Linked DNA regions of Oryzias latipes. The protein of the gene in region 3 purifies or fractionates together with the protein of the main gene of each other region. This does not show direct contact. Links are inferred from orthologs where the notes say so. Each region holds a gene or a part of one and is shown on either strand. Other genes may lie near its edges. The genes, in order: kinesin-like protein KIF3C, kif3b and kifap3.

What was found.
Region 1: the proteins of kifap3 (region 3) and kinesin-like protein KIF3C purify together in Homo sapiens (co-immunoprecipitation; 3 studies listed by BioGRID and IntAct, counting the BioPlex papers as one, with this or other methods). This does not show direct contact. The link is inferred for Oryzias latipes from reciprocal best matches to the Homo sapiens genes KIFAP3 and KIF3C.
Region 2: the proteins of kifap3 (region 3) and kif3b purify together in Homo sapiens (co-immunoprecipitation; 7 studies listed by BioGRID and IntAct, counting the BioPlex papers as one, with this or other methods). This does not show direct contact. The link is inferred for Oryzias latipes from reciprocal best matches to the Homo sapiens genes KIFAP3 and KIF3B.

What each region holds. Positions count from the first base shown.
Region 1 is NC_019882.2:17,758,156-17,763,954, reverse strand, and holds part of kinesin-like protein KIF3C, read right to left. Parts: intron 5,164-5,799; coding exon 5,062-5,163; intron 4,974-5,061; coding exon 4,851-4,973; intron 2,665-4,850; coding exon 2,546-2,664; intron 1,578-2,545; coding exon 1,461-1,577; intron 1,337-1,460; coding exon 1,228-1,336; intron 681-1,227; coding exon 535-680; intron 1-534.
Region 2 is NC_019865.2:5,043,067-5,049,559, forward strand, and holds the start of kif3b (kinesin-like protein KIF3B), read right to left. Parts: upstream 4,072-6,493; 5' UTR 3,985-4,071; intron 1,513-3,984; exon of another isoform or gene 1,410-1,512; intron 1,103-1,409; exon of another isoform or gene 652-1,102; intron 19-651; 5' UTR 1-18. Other genes in the region: kelch-like protein 7, read left to right, coding at 4,965-5,069, 5,147-5,249, 5,316-5,409, 5,478-5,602, 5,670-5,842. UniProt on the Homo sapiens protein: Microtubule-based molecular motor that transport intracellular cargos, such as vesicles, organelles and protein complexes. Uses ATP hydrolysis to generate force to bind and move along the microtubule. Plays a role in cilia formation.
Region 3 is NC_019875.2:21,194,590-21,200,931, forward strand, and holds the start of kifap3 (kinesin-associated protein 3), read right to left. Parts: upstream 3,518-6,342; 5' UTR 3,353-3,517; coding exon 3,324-3,352; intron 1,217-3,323; coding exon 1,085-1,216; intron 840-1,084; coding exon 682-839; intron 393-681; coding exon 331-392; intron 225-330; coding exon 83-224; intron 1-82. Other genes in the region: rod type phosducin, read right to left, coding at 5,162-5,350, 5,656-5,768, 5,866-6,085, 6,185-6,321. UniProt on the Homo sapiens protein: Involved in tethering the chromosomes to the spindle pole and in chromosome movement. Binds to the tail domain of the KIF3A/KIF3B heterodimer to form a heterotrimeric KIF3 complex and may regulate the membrane binding of this complex.

The DNA.
Region 1 (5,799 bases), on a different chromosome or scaffold from region 3:
TTGGGGTTGTGAGTGGCTGTAAACTAATGGAAGGAAGTGTAAACAAATGAATGATGTGTGCAGGCTATTCTGGGCCAACAGCCCCGCCCACAACTCAGAGGAGACTTTCTAAAAAACTCCTGCTGGTCTGCAGAGTCTACGTCCTAGAAAATGAGGCAGATTTCTTTCTTTTTGGGCTAAAAACAACATCATCATAATTTAAAAACCACTGGGAAGGATTTTACAATAGATCAAAAGATGATCGGATGGAGACTTTAAATAAAAAAAACTAGGAGAAAATGCTAAATATGTATGAAAAAAGTGCCTAAACTTTAAAATAATTCAATGTAATCGTTTTTGTGTTAAATTGTTTTGAAGTAAAAACCACTTCAAGACAAAAAAATGACAAAAATATTTACATATGTATGCCTGTTCTGCAGCTTTGCAAGCAGGTTTTCTTTTCATTCATAGATTCATTTAAAAAAGTTTCAATCAAGGGCTTCCAGGTGAGTTAAAAGCCACGTTAAAGCGGTGAAAGTCCACATGCGGGCTCACCAGGAGCTGGACTTGTGAATGTCTCTGTTCTTGGTGGGAGAGTTTTCCTGTGAGGGAGTTTGGTTTGTGGCCGCCTCCGCTAAGCAGTCCAGGGAGGACGGGTTTGGAGGACACATGTCCAGCTCCAGAAACATGATGTTTTCCGCCTGCAGAGGAGAGCACACAGACATGACATCACAGCAGCTGTCAGCAGTCAGGTTCTTCATAATTTACAACAAACATTTAAGGATTTCTCTTAGTATTGATGGTTCTTTGAGCATAAACTGAACACTTTTTGTTAATTAATATAAAAGGTGGCATAATCAGCAGATGACTAGACAATTATTTTGACCATAGATCCAAAGATTTTTACATTTTTTACAGGTAAAATTTAATTTTATTCATTTTTTCTTTTGGTGAAGATTTTTTTTTAGAAAATACCATTAAAATAATGTTAAATAAATACATTTTCTTAAATGGAAAGAAATAAAGAATAAGATTAATTAAAAAATATAAAAGGTGTAGTCATCTTTTTAAAGAAAGATAACATATTTGATCAAAAATTGAACAATGCAGAAGCAAAAACATATTTTTGTTTGACATTTGACATTAACTTAACATTCATTTTCCACATTTACTCTGATAAATAATAAGATACCTCACCACTATAAACAGATTTATGTTTTCATAGCACTGATTACAAAAAAAGCTCACCCTGAATCTGGAATGAGCTCCCATCGCTATGGCAACCCTAGCATACTGACTGATGGGTCGTTTGTATCCGACTGCAGATGTCGGCCTTTTCTTCATCTGTGAGAATTTACTGTAAAGGCAGAAGTTCCATCAGTGAATCACTAATTATGGCTTTAAGGGAGACTGTTTGAGATGAGAAAGATGAGAGAGGAAGAGCGTACTCCTGAAAACCATCACATGAAAGCATCACCGACCTCTGAGCGGGAACGAGAGGCTGGAAATTCCACTGATCCTCCTCTGGGTCGAAGGTCAGCCTGTTCATGATCTTATTCTTCTCCTCCGGAGGAATAAAATTCTCAATGATGAGATACCTGTGCAGACATGATGCAGCTTTAATGTGGCGAGACAGCAGCCTAAAAATATCAAACCAAAGAGCAGCATAGAGACAAACAGATGAATTATGAAGAATAGAATAAACTAAATATTGAGTTTGCTTACGGTACTAAATGTTAGTTGATGAATGTAACATTTATAAATACGTGAATGAAAATGTGAAAATATGTATCGGAAAAATGAAACCTGGTTTTTTTCTTCTAAAACAGGCTAAATAACCAAAAATATTGCTGGTTAGCACTCTTGCCTCACAGCAAGAATGTCCCCGGTTCAAGTCCCGCCAGGGGGACCTGAAACAGAATGGGGGACGTTGCATGTTTCTCTCCCTGCATGCGTTGGTTTTCTCCGGGGTTCATTGATTACCCTAAATTGTTCCTAGGTGTGAGTGTGTGATTTATGTGGACTGTCCCCTGCCTTCGCCCAAGAGTGGCTCCAGCGGCTACGGGACCCCGAAAGGGACAAAACAGGTTTAAGAGATGAATGAATGTTTTGCTGTTAATATCTGACTTTGTCACTTTACAAAAGGCAGCCCATAGCCCCACCCCTTCACGTTTGGTATGATTGAAAAGCCCAAAATGTCCTCTGTAGATACCAAAAGGAGTTCATTCAGTGGTATGCAGTTGTTGGGAGGGATTCATGTTTAGAAATATCCTCCACACCAGGGGTCCCCCAAATCCAGGCCAGTGTCCGACATGTTTTCTAACCCACCGGCTACTGAAGCTCCTTGTTGGCTAAACACCCCTGATCCAGGTAATCAGCAGCAAATAGGGCAGTGATTCTGGAAAACAGGACACCGGCCCTCAAGGCCTGGATTTGGGGACCCCTGCTCTGCACAGAACAGATTTACACTGCTGTGTGTGAGGTGAGAGAGCAGGTGGAAGAAGATAAACCGAGAAGCTGAGACGTGCTGGTGCCTGCACTTCCTCGGGACGCTGTTGTGACTCACTTGAACTTGAGCTCTCTGGTCAGCTCGTTTTGAGTCTGCTCCAGCTCCTGCCGGCTCCCCACATGCTCGTCGTTCATGTCCTTGATTTCCGCCTTGATGCACTGCAGCTTGGAGTACAGCTGCAGGAACACAAACAGTCAGCGGCTGAGAGGAGCCAAGCTTCTCAGTTTGGGGTATCTGCTGGTGCACTCGTCTCCAGATTGCAGCAGCTTGGTTGCCCATAGCAACAGCACTGGGGGCACTGGTATCTGGAGAGCTGGCCAGCCAATGGGAGCACGCCAAGTCCGCCCCCCACCCTCAATTTGGTTCATTCCTCTACTTCTCTGCTGCACCCCTTAGCCCCCACATTGTTCTGTATAACTTCAGCCTGAAAATCAGCCGCTCAGCCTGACTTTTAACCCCGAAACTGCAGTGAAGATGCATTTTATTGCAATGTGGACGACATTCTGCAAATATTTTAAACACAAAAACACTGAAAATAGAGATTTTCATGTAAACAAACCACAACGCGAGTCACTGAGTCGAGTGAAAGGATGTGTACACATCTGTTGGACTCACACATATGACCTCAAAGGAGTCAAACAGATGTGTAATTTAGATTTTTTTGTCTGAAATATGTTAGAACACAAATTTATCATGGTAAATTTTCAGACTTTGATACAGTATTTGCCTTAGTCTTCTACTTTACAAATCTCTTAAAGTTTTTAAAGCAAATTTTGAATTTTACTTAGGTATTTTAAATAAACATTGTGTAATTAGATTTTTTAAAACAGTTTTGTCAAAGTTGAGTTTTCATAGATGATCCTAAAATGTTCTGTGAAAGACGTACATTTTCTGTTATAATGCTTTGTGTGGTGGTCACTTAATTTTGTCTTCTAAATATCTTCAAGTTTCTCCAGCGAACTGAGCATTAAATTAGTATTTCAGTATTAAATTAGTATTTTAGCATTGCTGCCTCTTGTACAAACTATTTTAAGCTGACCATAAGTAAACAAAGCAGATATATAACTTTTTGAAAAAGATCTTGTTCACTGTTTTTTCCCCTATTTTTACTTTTTATGTTGCCATACAGTGGGGAAAAAAAGTATTTAGTCAGTCACCGATTGTGCAAGTTCTCCCACTTAAAAAGATGGGAGAGGCCTGTAATTTTCATCATAGCTTTACAGACCATAAAAACAAAGACGCACGTGGATCTATTTATTCTTTTTTTGTGGCCCGCCGAGAGTATTGTCTACGTAGCAAATACTATCTTATTCAAACAGTATTTTGTTGTCTGCTGATTCTGGTTCTGAAAATATCTGATCCTTATTCACAAGATTTGAACAAAGAAATACTCACAAATGCTATTTTAGGCCTAATTATCTTTAAATATCTCCTCCATCATGAGAAAAATGCCACAAGAACAAGATAAACACCAAAAACACAATTTTCAACTGAGTGGGTCTTTCATTCAGTATTTTAGTCTTTTTTCACACTGCTAGGAATAAATACTCTTTATGTAAACGAAGATCACAACTTTTCCAAAATAATATGAAATGGAGATAAAGCCAAGGACTCAGCCATAGGAAGTAAATACTTTTCCACACACTGCTTCTTCATTTTGGTTCAATTTATGTGAAACTGGTCATTTAAAGTAAATGTAAATATTGTCATCTAATGTGAATGTAATTTTTCTAAAAAATAGGTTACTTTATTGTTAGGAATAATTAGAAACAGAATAGTTAGAAACTCACTTTTACTTTTTATTACACTGATGGTTTAAACTTTGATTCACTATGTATTATCATCTCAAAATTATATTACAAGGCACAATCAAGACTATTGTCTCGTAACATTCCTTCAGCATCCTCCCCTTCCATCTTTGTGTGTGCTGGTGTGTGCGCTCTGCTAAATGTCTGTGATAACCTCAGAGAGATCTGACACTTTAAGCTCTCTGACCTTCGAACATCTAGCCTGCAACTGGGGGTGGATTTTTCACACCACCATCCATCGGATGATGTTCTGAATATGCAAATGCAGGACTTATATACCAAGCCCATTTTCCTGTTTTCTTTGTTCAGACTTTGAGCTCCGTTGTTCGGACTTTGATGCAGTAACCTGTTCATCTGTCTGTAACCCTTTGTACAAATCTGTGCCTTTTGTGCGGAGTAAATCTTCACTGAAGCTAAGTATTGTCTCTGAGTCATTATTCATTCATTTCTGTGTTCAAGAAATTGACAGGGTACGGACCTAATAATTTTATCAATACAGTCCAATCTAGCAGAGCCAGTTTCTTCACACTTATTTTGAAAGCTAGTAGACCCACCTTCTTGAGCTTTTTGGTCTTTGCCTCAACTTCCTGTTGTAGAGACGTGAACGTCTCCCTGAGCTCCACCGTCTCCTCATCCTGGACCAGCATCTGCTGCTGGATTTCCCTCTCCTTGCGAGTCTGACAACATAAAGTCCATCTTTAACAGCAGACTTTGTTTTCGAACGCACATGAGAAGGGATTTTAAGGGTGAGCACAGTTTCTTTACCTGCTCTGCAATCTCCTGCCTCTTCACCTCCAGCATCTTCTGTTGCTCGTTGGTGTGATCCATGATGTTCTTACCACCAACTAGAAGCTTGCTCTCCATCGCCTGAGAACAGAACCCATTATCAGTGTACGTTTTTAGAAACCAGCTGGCAAAACGTAAGATGAGAAGGCTGACTTCCAGGAACTGGAAAGGTGAGGCAAACTTTAGAATGAGCTAAAAACAAATAAGTTTCCAAAAGTACAAAGTCCCCAATCTGATCATCTTTTGATCTACTTTCAAAGTGTTCCCAGTGGTCTGTTCATTATGATTATACCACTTTTGGCCCAAATCAAAAACCTGTGTCGTTTTCTAGGACATAGTTTCTGCAGAACAGCAGTAGGTCATTAGCAATTCACCTCAGAGTTGTGGGCTCTTGGCAGGGAAAAACCCCTTCCCCAGAAAAGGTAGGAACTACGGGACATCACTGATTGGATAATGACGTTTGGAGTTTTTTCAAATGCATCTTATGCAAATTAATAAAGGTTTTATGATTGGTGGGCCCTGCGACAGGCTGGGGACCTGTCCGGGATGTACCCTGACTTTGCCCCGCAGTAGCCGGGTTGGGCTCTACCAGTCCTGTGAACTGGAAAGTGATATATTATGTTAAGTACATGGATGGAAGGATATTTAAATACATTGCTTTATGCCAATTTCCTCGCATTTAAAATGATGGACAAATGTCATCATCCAATCAGTGAT
Region 2 (6,493 bases), on a different chromosome or scaffold from region 3:
AGGAAACGAAGCCCCGACCTGAAAGATGGATGGACAACCAGACGTTAGGGGTGTAACGATTCATTTTAACAATGATTTGTGGCCACTGATACACTTTAAAGTCGATATCGATTCATTTGGAACGTTCCGATTTATTGACCTCTGATCGATCTGGGACTACTTTAGCCAAAGTGTTAAATAGCTGAGATAAAAGCCTGGGTACTGAACACTGCAGGGGATGTTTTCTATATCTGGTATTGTATAAAAAGAAACCTACCACACCTCAATCCAAATGGTATTTACCAATATAGATTATCAATTGATCTAATTTTGTTTTTTTTTCTTAATGGTATATTTGGATTTGATTAAAAACATCAATTAATTCATCATCAATTAATTTTTGCCTCCCTACCGGACATAACTGCAATTTTATACAAGTTATTTATAACTAGGCACACAAAAAAACAACACTGAAAAAGGTATGTTTTTTTTCTTAAAAGTTATATATTTTTTAGTCTTCTGTTTTTTTTTTTTTTTAACAGTGACTCGAATCTCTTCCAATCTTTAAATACTTTAATAGAGCAGGAAAAACACAAAAACTGAGTTGGAAATCAGCTCCCTGAAAAAACTAAATGTGTGTTGGATCGGTGCAGTGGAAAGAAAGATACCGACCTCAGCTTAGCTGTTCCTGTTTGGCTTCTTAATTGGAAAAGCTGAGGCTAATAAAAGCCTTCGGTGGCACAGAGCCGCGAACCGAGCCCGGTGTGACCGACCCGAACCCGGACTGAGCGAGGCGTTAGCGCGTTCGGTAACAAACAACACCGGCCTGGCAACGGCAAACACACCGGTCACCTAAGCTACAAATCTGGTAGCATCCGCCGGCTAACAAACGGAACACCCCAACGGACAACGATCACCGAGGAGAGCTTAACGTCTGAACCCGCCCGATAACCACTGCAGCCTCACAAATCACAAGAAACGTCGCGTTGTTTTTCCCTCAATAAATAGAAACTAGATCCTAACTACCATCAATGAGGGGAAAAGTCCGTTTCATGAGCGGCTGAACGAGCCGCCAGCGGCGCTGCGCGTCTACTCGCGTAGTTACGGTTAAAGGGATTGAGCCAGGGGCGGACCTAGCAAGTCGGGGGCCACAGGCGAATACTCGCCCCTCACATTCTAAAATAGAAAGTGCCTGGGGTATTCCAACCCATTTATTTACGCCACCGTCATAGTCACACCGTAAGAGCTGAAGAAAATCAAAACAACAAACTTACAATAATTCCTTTTTGATTTACAACCATTCTTTACCTCAGCTAGTAGCGTTAGATTGTTGAATAACTTCAAACAGAAACATTTTTTGTTATTTTACATAAAACCAATTGAAAATAATCACAAAATGTATACAGAGTAAACAGAACCAAAAATCATACCTGTTCGCCTTCCAGCTAGATGCCAAAAACAAATGATAGCTTTAGACAGTTATCCGTCTGTTATTTGTCTGTTTGCTTTGTTGCCGTAGCATCAGCTGTTAACCGTTTTTTTTTGTTTCTGTTGAACTGACGCACTTCACAGAAAAAGCAGAAGTAGGTGGAACCTTCACAATAAAAGTTTTCAAAACAAAATACACTCTGCAAACAATACTGTTTTTATAATGTTCTTTTACATCTTCAGCATACTTCTTTTGAAATAAAAGGCATCTTCAATCAAAGGAAATGTTAAACAATACTGGTAATAAGAAAACAATTAAAATGGGTCATTTACAGGCTCCAAAAAGCCAAAACGCCCTAACTAAGCAGATATGACTCAGTCATTCTATTTGTCAGAATAACTATTGTAGTTCCTTCCAATCTTTTTTTTTTTTCCCACAGGAAATCATTTAAGTTGTAAACTGACCAATCAAATGCCTCAGTAAAAGTATGTGTTGCCCACTGGCCCCTCCCTCCAACGTTTGACAGTTTGCAAGGGGTGTGAACTTCGAACATGCTCACTCCTGATTGGCGACAGCAGTTACCATAGAAACATTGACTCTTTGGACCAATTACTCTCGTTTGCCTCCAGTAAGGCGACGTCCGTATCGCAAAAGAAAAAGCCCACTGAGTTGGCTTCATTTTGCTGGAGCCAGAAGTAAAGCAATTTCTATGGGTGACGTCACACGTACTCAGTCCAGTTCTCTTATACAGTCATTGAGGCGTACAATAACTCTGCAGTGGTTGTATTTCTTCCTTATCTAGGGTAAATTGCCTGTTGAATAACTTCTTCGCTTGTCCACTTTTAGACAGCATCAATGGATCAAGGATCCAAATGTTTTTTTAATACAGTATCTAAAAGCAGAAATCACATTTAAATGTGATAGAAATGTATTTTTCATACATTATTTGATTACCGTAATTGTCCAAATTCCTTTAACTTTCAGTTAACGGTTTCTAAAAACAAAATGAACCACAATAATTGTGTTTCTGAACATTGCATCTGACAATTTGAACTTCTCAGACAATTTGTTTTCCCACCATAGGGATGAAACCCAAAAAATTATTAGAAATGAAGTCATCATTTGGTTTGTTTTTAATTCAACCCCGTAGCATGACAATCTAACTTTAGGATGATTATTATGTTTAAACTTATTCAAACAAACTATTCCAGTTCCGTGGTAATCACGTCCCTTGTGCAATATTACTTATTGTAGGTAAATTTCATTTGATTTATAAAAAAAAAAAAAAAATTCCAAGTTGAACCTTCAGCCCAGTAACAATGATTCAACCCTGTAACAGGGTTTTTTTTGTTTGTTTTGAGGTTGAAAGTTATAAAGTTTTAGCTAATAGAAGCCTCATGTAAACATTAGCTAGATTATTGAGGGTCATACATGTGTAACCGTTTTCTGGTCTCTGCTCTGCGTTGTGTGATGTTGAGCACCCTCAGGAAGCCACGAGACACCGGAGAAACTTTCTTGGAGCGGTTTTCTTTATTTTCTGGTTGTGACAAAATATGGCATCAACACGTGCTGCACTCCGATAATGCCCCAAAACTAAAAATATAAATTTCAAACGAGCACCAACATTGCATACAAAGAACTAGATCATGTTTGAAAATCTTTGGTGTTGGACCGGACGGAAAAGGAAAGAAGGGAAGAAGAGAGAGGGACGTTAGAGAGAGGGGGGGGTAGGAGGGTGATAATAGGAGGGGAAGGGGGGTAAGACCATGAAGCAGCATAGAGCAGACAGGTTTACTGGTTGTTTATCATTACGGTACGGTTCAAATGTAGTACAAAAAGGGCTCTTTCATATATCGTTTCATATGGGGCTGAACAAAACTGAGAGGTGTCATAAAATGATGCAAATTTTTTCTTATATTACTTATATTTAGGTGAAAGTAGAAAATTACATTAGAAAAATAAAACTTGCAGTTATTGGCTATTATCTGTTTTATATTTAGTGAAAACGTAGCCTTGGTCAGTGGGGACATGCTCGTTTGTCTGACCCCTTTGCCTCGGCAACCCATCAAATGTTTCTAATTCTCACAATATATTTGTCTGTGATAATGCAGAGAGACATTGATCTTTCCATGTCTTGTTTTAAAATGCACTTTGGGGTTTACTTTAATGTAAAAATCTCTGAGACAAACCTGTGGGACACAAAGTGCACTTATTTCAGAGAATCGGCCATTCTTACCTGGAAAAAAACAATTAATTTATTGATTTCACTAATTTGTTACCTACTCACATTACCATAGCAACAAATCACATTCTTCTGTGTTTCCTTTAATCTGTCAGGTTTTACCTAAAAAGCCCAAAAGAAAGGAAAAAACACTTGCACGATGGAACAAACAAAACACCACACTGGAGTGGCGTAAGTAAAACAAAAAAAAGTTGTTTAAATAAAAACAAAGTGCTGCTTTGTGGTATTCTTTTTTTTTTTTAAACTTCACTGAAGATGAACACATTTACAGAGCATATAGACAAATCAAAAGGCAAATGTTTTTAATTTATGATGTTAATAGGGTTACACTTACTGTTTAGAAATCGTTCCAACTGGCTCCAGTTTACAGTTCAGTCCATATTAGCTAGCTTTTCAAAATAAACTTCCGGTTTGCGATTTTCTTTCAGTCTGCGTGGTGGTTTTCTTCTTCTTCTTTTTTACGTTTTATGACAGGTTTTAGTCCCCCCGGCATTCACAGAACCTAGAGATAACGGCATGATTTAGAAAAATGATTTAGAAAAAAAGAGAAAAAATATTTTTAGCCGTCTTTTCACTTTAACGGACACAGGTGTACCTCATCACGTCGGTTGATTTTTTTGTTTCCCGCTTGAAGGGACAGCAGATGTTTTTTTTCTCAAGGCTCACTTCTGTTCTCAACCGACTAACTAAACTTCCGCGAGGCACTGCTGAAGTATGAACAAATGTGCTTTTACTGACTTTAAAAAAAAAAATGTCTTTTGAGTATTTGTTCGTCATTATTTGGCTAAATTCTGCTAAGTAATTTAGATTATTGCTTGATTACGCTTGATTTGTTTCAGTTGGCCTTATTTACACATTAGCATATTTTTATTAAAGTAATTCTAGTCCTTTGTTTTTATTTCAGCTTTAAATATTTTTTATGTAAATGCTAAGGTTTACATTTAATATATATTTTTAATACTTTATCTTTGTTTTGAATTTCATCAAACTTCCGCGTTTATTTTGAGACTTTTTTTGTTTCTTTTTTTTTTTGGTATTGGCTGGATATATTGACATTTGAGTTTTTTCTTTTTTAATTCTTTAATTAAATTAATGTAAATTCTTTTTATAAATTAAGTTGGTGTAAATTTTGACTTTAGACAAACTTGTTGGTTAAAAATAAATTTGGTTCTAAAGAACAAACGTCACTGGTTGGTTGTCATCAGTTTAGATTTTTAAATGTTTTCAGATCAAAGAGGCACCTTTTCTAACTGGAAGTCATTTATTTTTACGTCTCTCACGTTCTTCCAATCAGAAAAGCTTTCTGAGGCGAGGATGGCCTCTCAGAGCGCCAACAGAAATGGAGGAACTTGGACGTCCGACTCAAAGTCCTACAAACTGTCCAGCGTTGTGAGAACCATGAACAGCTTTAGAAAAGAGGTAAGAATAAGATGGACTTTGGTGTTTCAGCACACAAGGCGTTTGTTCTGACATGTGGCGCCGGCCCCCTCCTGCAGGGTAGGCTCTGCGACGTGACCCTGGTTGTTCAGGGGAATCGGTTCTCTGCTCACAGAGGGATTCTGGCGGCAGCCAGTCATTTCTTCCATCTTCTGTTTAGCAGTAAGTAAAATGCAAAGCCATATTGGTCGATTTGATCTGAAGCTAAGCTTTCTTTTCTCTCTTCAGCCAGTATGGTGGAGTCTAGGACTCATGAGGTGGAGCTGAGGGACGTTTCCCCTGACATTCTTCAGCTGGTGATTGGTTTCATTTACACGGCGCAGTGAGTCATGTGGCTTTGCTGAGCAGAAGTCGGTACTGTGATGCAGCATGAACCCATGTTACTTTCAGAGTTTCGGTGGACAACCAAAACGTGGAGGCTCTGCTGTACGCAGCGGACTTTTTCCAAATCGATCCCATCAAGAACGTTTGTGTGGAATTCATCAAAAGACAGATTGATGCAACAAACTGCCTGGGTAACGTAAAAGGAAATGAAACGTCCGTCTCGTGGTCCTCGTGTTTGCTGACCTGCTTGTGTTGCAGATGTTGCAGTCCTTGCAGATCGTGCAAACTGTCCGGGGCTGAAGGCCATAGCAGAGAGCATCCTCAGACGCAACTTTACCAGGATCTGGAAGACCAGCAGATTCCTCCAGCTTGATGTGACCACACTCACTCATCTGCTGCGCCAGGAAAAGCTTAAAGTTTGTGGGGAGGAGGTATGTGACTTTAAAGTTATGCCATTATATATATTTACACTGTTATGTGGGGAATTTTAGAAGTCTGACCTGAAATGAAGGTTGTTTGCAGCGAGGAAACGGCTAAAGACCCACTCCGAGGAAAATTGTTTTTGGCGTTTTAAACATGTTCTTGTGGCATTTTTCTTATTATGGAGCACATGTATAATAATAATATATATATATAATATATTTTTTTTCTTTTTTGTTGTTTTTTAGGTTGGGGATATGAGGGGCTGTAAGCCAGTAAGAGAGCGCTAAATGGAGAGCACAGTTATGGGTGGCAGGAAGGCACGGCGGGGTTAACTCGCCAACAACTCTGAGGCGAATTTCTAATGAACTACTGCCGCTCTGCAGAAATGTTTGAGAAAACGATGAGTTCCTTGATTTTTGGCTTACACCCCCCCCCCCTCCCCCCCCCCCCGGGCATAATCATAATCTAAAGCCCACTGGGAACACCTTGAAAATGGATCAAAAGATGATTGGAGTGGGACTTTAAAACAAAAACTACTTACCTCCTGACATGTAGATGTATTTTTTTACCTTTTAGAAAAATTGCAGATTTGTTTTTTATTTATTAATGTTTGGAATGCAACCACAAAAGGGCACAATCCAGTGTTTTGCTGTGCCAGT
Region 3 (6,342 bases):
CTGAAGAAAGTTTCCGTCTGTATACAGTAAATACATTTCACGCTTAGACTGAACACAACAAGAAAGTAAATTGACTTCATGCCATTGTGCAGGAGTTCCTCCAGGTTGTCGGGGTTACGGGCCAGCTGCAGAATGAGAGCAGATGCTCGGATCTTTTCTGGGATGCCTTCATAGAGCAGCTCCACGTACTCATCTATTTTAGTTATACTAGCTTCTTCATTTAACTAGAAAGACAAAAAAAGGCAAACAAAATGTGGTTGACTTTAAAAGGAAAAAGCACTTTAACAGATAAGGATTTCATCTGTTTGCTGTGTTGAATGAAGTCTTTACCTCCAGTCCTTCAAATGGTGTCAGATCTTTGGGCTTCACTTGTCTTTTCTCTTTCCTTTCCACTGGTAATAATAAAAACACATTCATATACAATAAATCATTATAGTTTTTTTAAAAAAAGCTAATTTTTTCAACAGTTTATGTTATTATTTTACAAAAAGTTTGTTTAGTACCATAACGAGAACATCACTGAATCATAAAGCCTATTTCTATTTTGGCATATTACGTTTAAAACGTTCAAACCCTGAAACCATTTTTCTGTACAAATTATGAGCTTGAGAACCTGAAGTGTTTGCAAACAAAAAGAAACTAAAAGCATCTCCTAGAACGTGCTCGGCCTAAATGTCTGACCTTTACCCTCCACCGGGGAGGACTTTCTGTTCTGCAGGTAGTAGAGGAGCTGCTCCACTTGTGGCAAACGGGAGGCAGGGAGGAGTTTGCACTCCTCCACCACTTTCTTAGCCAACGCTGCCACATCTGTGGTAGGAGAGAGGCTCTTCAAACGGATTCTAAATGGAGAGAAGGGCAAACATTGAAGCATCACAAATAACTGACTCCATCTATTATTTCCATTTGGAGAATGTAGAGGCTGATGCATTTAGAAGTAGCTAATTTTTCATTGTTAATCATTGCAAAAATGTATAACAATGCTAATCCAGTTTTGGTGGATACAACTTTTAAACAAATCCAAACTAACTTAACAAGTTAATCAATCCGTTTGATTTAAATATAGGAAAGATAACAAGAAACATACATTTTTTGTCCTTCTTTGCGTTCACCAAGCACAGGACCTCCACCACCTCCTAAGACAGCAGCCTGAACCTCGTAGTGAACAACCAGAGCCTTCTCTGTGGGATGGACATCCAGACTCCCTAACGTCACTTTGCTGGGGATCAAAATTGAACAAATATGAGGTCAAAATGTTAACAGTCTAAAATGTCTTGTGAAAAAAACAAACACATAATTATAATCTTTAATGACAGAGAACAAATAAACTCATCATCCTCTCCCTCCCTCTCACTCATGGTGCAGAGACTTAACCATAGTAGGACATAATAACTAGGCAAAACACAGTAAAACAGCTAAACAAATAAACAGCCTTGGTCAAAAACCCACACTTAAAACCAAATCCGTCCAGACAGGCAAAGGAAATGGTATCCCACAATCCCTTGCGGTGCCGCTCTAACAGCAGCATCAAAGTTACATCTACTTAATTGAATTAAATTGAATGAAAGTAAAATAAAAGTCTGATAACTACGTGTTATTTTTAAGCAGCCTTAACTAAAAAAAAGATTTATCTTAACTGAAGCAAATAATTAAGTTAGATCAATGTAAAAAAGTTTATCTTTCCTTTTTTATTAATTTCATTTCATTGTTTTTTTTCCAGTCTTGGATTGTTATTTTATTGCTATTTTTTATTATTGCTGCTTTCTTGCACTGTCATGCTAGTGAGAAACAACATCTCGTCTCATCTGTGTATTTCTCTGCAAATACTATATGTGGAATGACAATAAAACAAATCATGAATCTTGAACATCCATACATGGTCTTATCGCCCTCTCATGGTGGAAAAAGTATTATCTGAGCTTCTTCATCCACTAAATCATCTTCAAATGGACTCGCCATGCTCCTTCACCTCTCTGAAAACAAAGTAACCTTCAACTAAACCAGCTCCAGACCAGGTTATGTTCAGAGCAAGAGTTGCTATGGCAACTTGACATACCCTGAAACATACCTCCATTTTTGGAACTGAAAGATGAGGTTATCCGCTTCCTTAGCCTCAAACTTACCGTGGTAACTCGCATAACCTGCTTTCTGGAATGCCCCCCTTCACTGCTCAGTACCAGGTGCTTCTCTCTGAGTCACACTGGTTGAAATGTTAGCTGAAGATGTTCTGGATTGATTTTAGGTCAGTGAATAACATTGAATCAAATTGTTCAAAATGAAGCCAAATTGAAATCGATTGGCAAAAATACCGAATCGAATTGTTCAAATGAATCGTTACACCCCTAGTAGGTAGAGAGCCCTGCGAACAGAAACACAAACCGGGCGGGGTGAGTGTGGTAGTAGTGGATGGATCCACTGCAGTTCCACTGCAGGGAGACTGAAGGGAGATGGTTCCAAATGATCATTGAAAAAAGACTTGAACCATTAGCATGCCACCTTGATCCATCGCTCGGCCAACAGGAAAGTTGCTGACCCCAGCTGGGCAGTGATACTTTCCAGACCCAATTATCCAAAACTCCAATGTTTTACTTTGTGTTTCCTGTGGAACCACTGTTTCATGTGGCTGTTGCTGTTCCACTTTGGCAGTGGGGATAGCAGGACGGGCCATGATACCACGGCCTGGGTCTTATTTTGTATCTGCAAAGCCATGTGTCGTTATTTACTGCCCCTCCCAATATGATGATGTCAATCTTGTCGTACATTGCTGGACAACGGGAAAAGGATGGCCTATTGGAATCTCCATCGTCGACGTGTATCACAAACACTCGCGGACGCTGACTGTCTTATGACTGAAAACCAACAACCAGCTGTTGAAGCAGTAAAACAATACATATTATCTGTTGCCGTTTAAACTAGTCTCTCCATGTTTAGCTCATTAGCTAGGCTAGCAACCCCCTGATTTCCCATAAGCCCCTTCATTAAAAAAAAAAACCCTCAGGTAACAATTTAACATGCGTTTTGTTGTTGTTTTGTGCAAAGCAGCGACAGTCATCTTTAATTGCGAGATGTGGTGTACATTTAACAAAAAGAAAGCAAATAAATAACAGCACGCCTTTCTCTCCGTACCCATTAAGCAAAATATAAACGTGTTTGCTAGGCTATAGTCTTTCGTGAAGTGACGACTCTTGCGAATTACAAAAAACAAATACTTGCTGATATAATTAATCAATCACTTTTTCATTTAAATATTACAGAGCTCGTCTTCTTTCTTCTAGGCCTTGGTCGATGATCGATCGACAAAAAATAACTCATTCATTCTAACTCACCGTTTGAGGCAGCGCGTGTCTTCCTGCATTTTCTTGTAAATGTTAATTTACCCTTTTATTATTTCTATAGTTGTATCACATCTGATTGAGCTTACTCCGAAATCACAGCGGTTGCCCGTCACAGACTGTCAATGATAGCGGCAGTTAATACAATAATACAAAGCTAGAGGGTTAGCCGTCGGTGGGCAAATGGTGCCCTGAGTTATAACTTACAGGGGGAATGTAGACCCTAAGTAATGACTTTAAGGCAACATTTCAAATCCAAATCCTCACAGCTGGAAAAGAAATACGATCAGAAGCAGAAAGTAATGTGTAATAATACAATTTACACATACAATTGTATAGGGCACAGTTTAATGTCCACAACACAACTTGAGTCAGTAAAGGAGAGCTTTTTAAAATAATTCGAGCCGCTGTCGCAAATTTAATTGTAAGATACAATACTTTGTTCAGTCTCATTAAATCCCCCCTATATGTTATACTGTGCTTTGATAGATAGATAGATAGATAGATAGATAGATAGATAGATAGATAGATAGATAGATAGATAGATAGATAGATAGATAGATAGATAGATAGATAGATAGATAGATAGATAGATAGATAGATAGATAGATAGATAGATAGATAGATAGATAGATAGATAGATCTTTATCATTAATTGTCATACCTTAAAAACAACCCATGGTAAAGACCTACCACTTAAAATAAAAAGTAAAACATAGAAGTACATTGGGCAGTGCTTAAAACTTGAAATTAAACCAATTTGTTGCTTTATATGGACTACTGCTAAAAAAAAACATGATAGTCAATATGTGTTAAACTCAGATAATAATAATAATAATAATAATAATAATAATGAAGAAGAAAATGTCCGTTGTATCACAATTTAGCGGAAGTCCAGCTTAAATGTTTCCTAGCCACATTTAACATTTTTATGGATTATGTAAAAACTGTATTAGAGTCTTTTTGTCCTTACTCTGCTTGACCCATATATTTTTGGCACAAACAGAACTTAATATGTCTGGGGTGTGATGTGTCTCTAAAGATATTCTGCGCTCTGTTGAGGCAGCTGGAGCTGTGGAGAGTTTCCAGGTGGGGAGAGAGCAGTCAACAATCTTTTGGGCGGTGCTGATGACCGTTGGAGAGCTTTTCTTTGAGCCCCTGTGCAGCTGCTGAACCAAGTGCACATGTTCCAACCAAGTTCCTCCTTTTGTTCCAGATATACCACAAGCTCCTAAAGTGACAGTGACCTGAGGCTGTGGAGTCACAAGTGGCTCTTTAAAGCCTCTATTGTGGCTCTTTGGTTGAAGAAAAATAAAACTATTTTAATTTTAAAAAGGAATATACTTTTCAGACTATAAGACTCATTAAGCTAAACTAAACATGCAGACAAGTCCCACTTGATTGTTATAGGGCTTTTTGTCCTTTTAGCGAGCACCGATTAATGATTTGACTAGTTTTGGTATGAAAAAGTGAGAAAAAAGACAAAAAGAATCATCCCTCCACACAATGCCACACAGAAAGACAGACAAAGAAACTCTGGTCAAGACAATTTATTGGTGAGCTATGATATGACTTTAAAGCAGTGTTTTCATACAGGCTGCCCCACACTTGAGGATTTACTCCTAGTTGCCCCTAAATACAACTGCTGTCCAGCATGTTCTGTTGGATGTTAACTATTCTGTACTTTGACTCTTTTGATTGTGAGTGTTCTGACTTAAACACTGTCAACATCCATTCATCCATCCATCCATCCATCCATCAACCCCTCTCTTCAAATCTCTTTTCCCCCACTCTTTTAATAAAAATGAGTTTGATCTGCCTCCCCCTTTTTTTTACTCCACATTCGCAGCATCATCTTCCTCGTCCGCACATGCAGCGAACTCTTTCTCAGGTAAGAGGCCATATTCATTGAGAAACGCCTCCACATCTGTCGCGAAGAACTCTTCATTGAAGTGTTTGGTAATAGACAAGAAATTACCCAGTAATTCACCAGATTTGTACACCAGCAAAGTGGGAAGGACCTGAAAGAACAATCAAAACAATATTTGTTAGTTGCTATTAAGTTTCAATCAATAATCTTTTGGCAGGGTAGTCATTTTTAAGCACATTTTTTAAATCTGAGTGACACATCTGTCCTGAGAGGATTTATTGATTTGTATTAGTCAAAACTTTTTGATCAAACATCTAAGTTTTCGTGACTTGTTTCCCATGCTGTGTGTCTGTAGGCGACTGGGTGGCAGGTCAAGTTTATCTCATTTTGTTTCTCCACAGCAATTTCTTGAGTCAGAATTGAAGCTTTTTATTTGTCTTCTGCTGGGGCACTAACCTCAGAGGAGAAGCGCTCCGCAGCTCCTGTTGCCACGGCATCAATGCGACAAAACTTAACAGTGGGGTACTCTGTAGCCAGGCAGTCCAAGCATGAGTTCATCTGCTCACAGCCTGACAAAACAAAGAAAAATCCATCAGAATTATATTTATGACGCTTGGGAGCTCAATCTAAAAATCATATTTAAATGTCAGCAACTGAGAAGCAAACCTTTGACATCTTGCTGGTAGATGTTAACGACTACCAGGGTTAGCCGATGCTCCTTCTCTATCACCTCCAGGAAAGCTTCTCCGCTCTCAAGCTCGTGGACACATTCAAACTTGGGACCAAAGCTCAGGCGCTCGTGCATTTCCTGCATACACTGTTTCCTGTAGCGTTTCAGGCAACGCTCGTCCTCGTCCTGGATCATCTCATACTCCTGCACGCTCATCTGTGCAAAAAAAAAAAGTAGGGTGTGAGTCCATGTGTGTTAGCCTGCATCATGGCTACACATGTCCTGGTTTTCAGGGTCCTTCTTTAGCAGCTCCACCTTTCTGTTAACTCTTTCTTTGTCGTCATCTCGAGGATTGGACATTTGTCTCAGCAGCTCTCGCTTTCTTTGAGGGACATTTTGGTCCACACTGTCCAGCTTAAACCTTCGCCAGTCATTGATCACACCTTTAGGACCTGAATACAGACAAAAATATG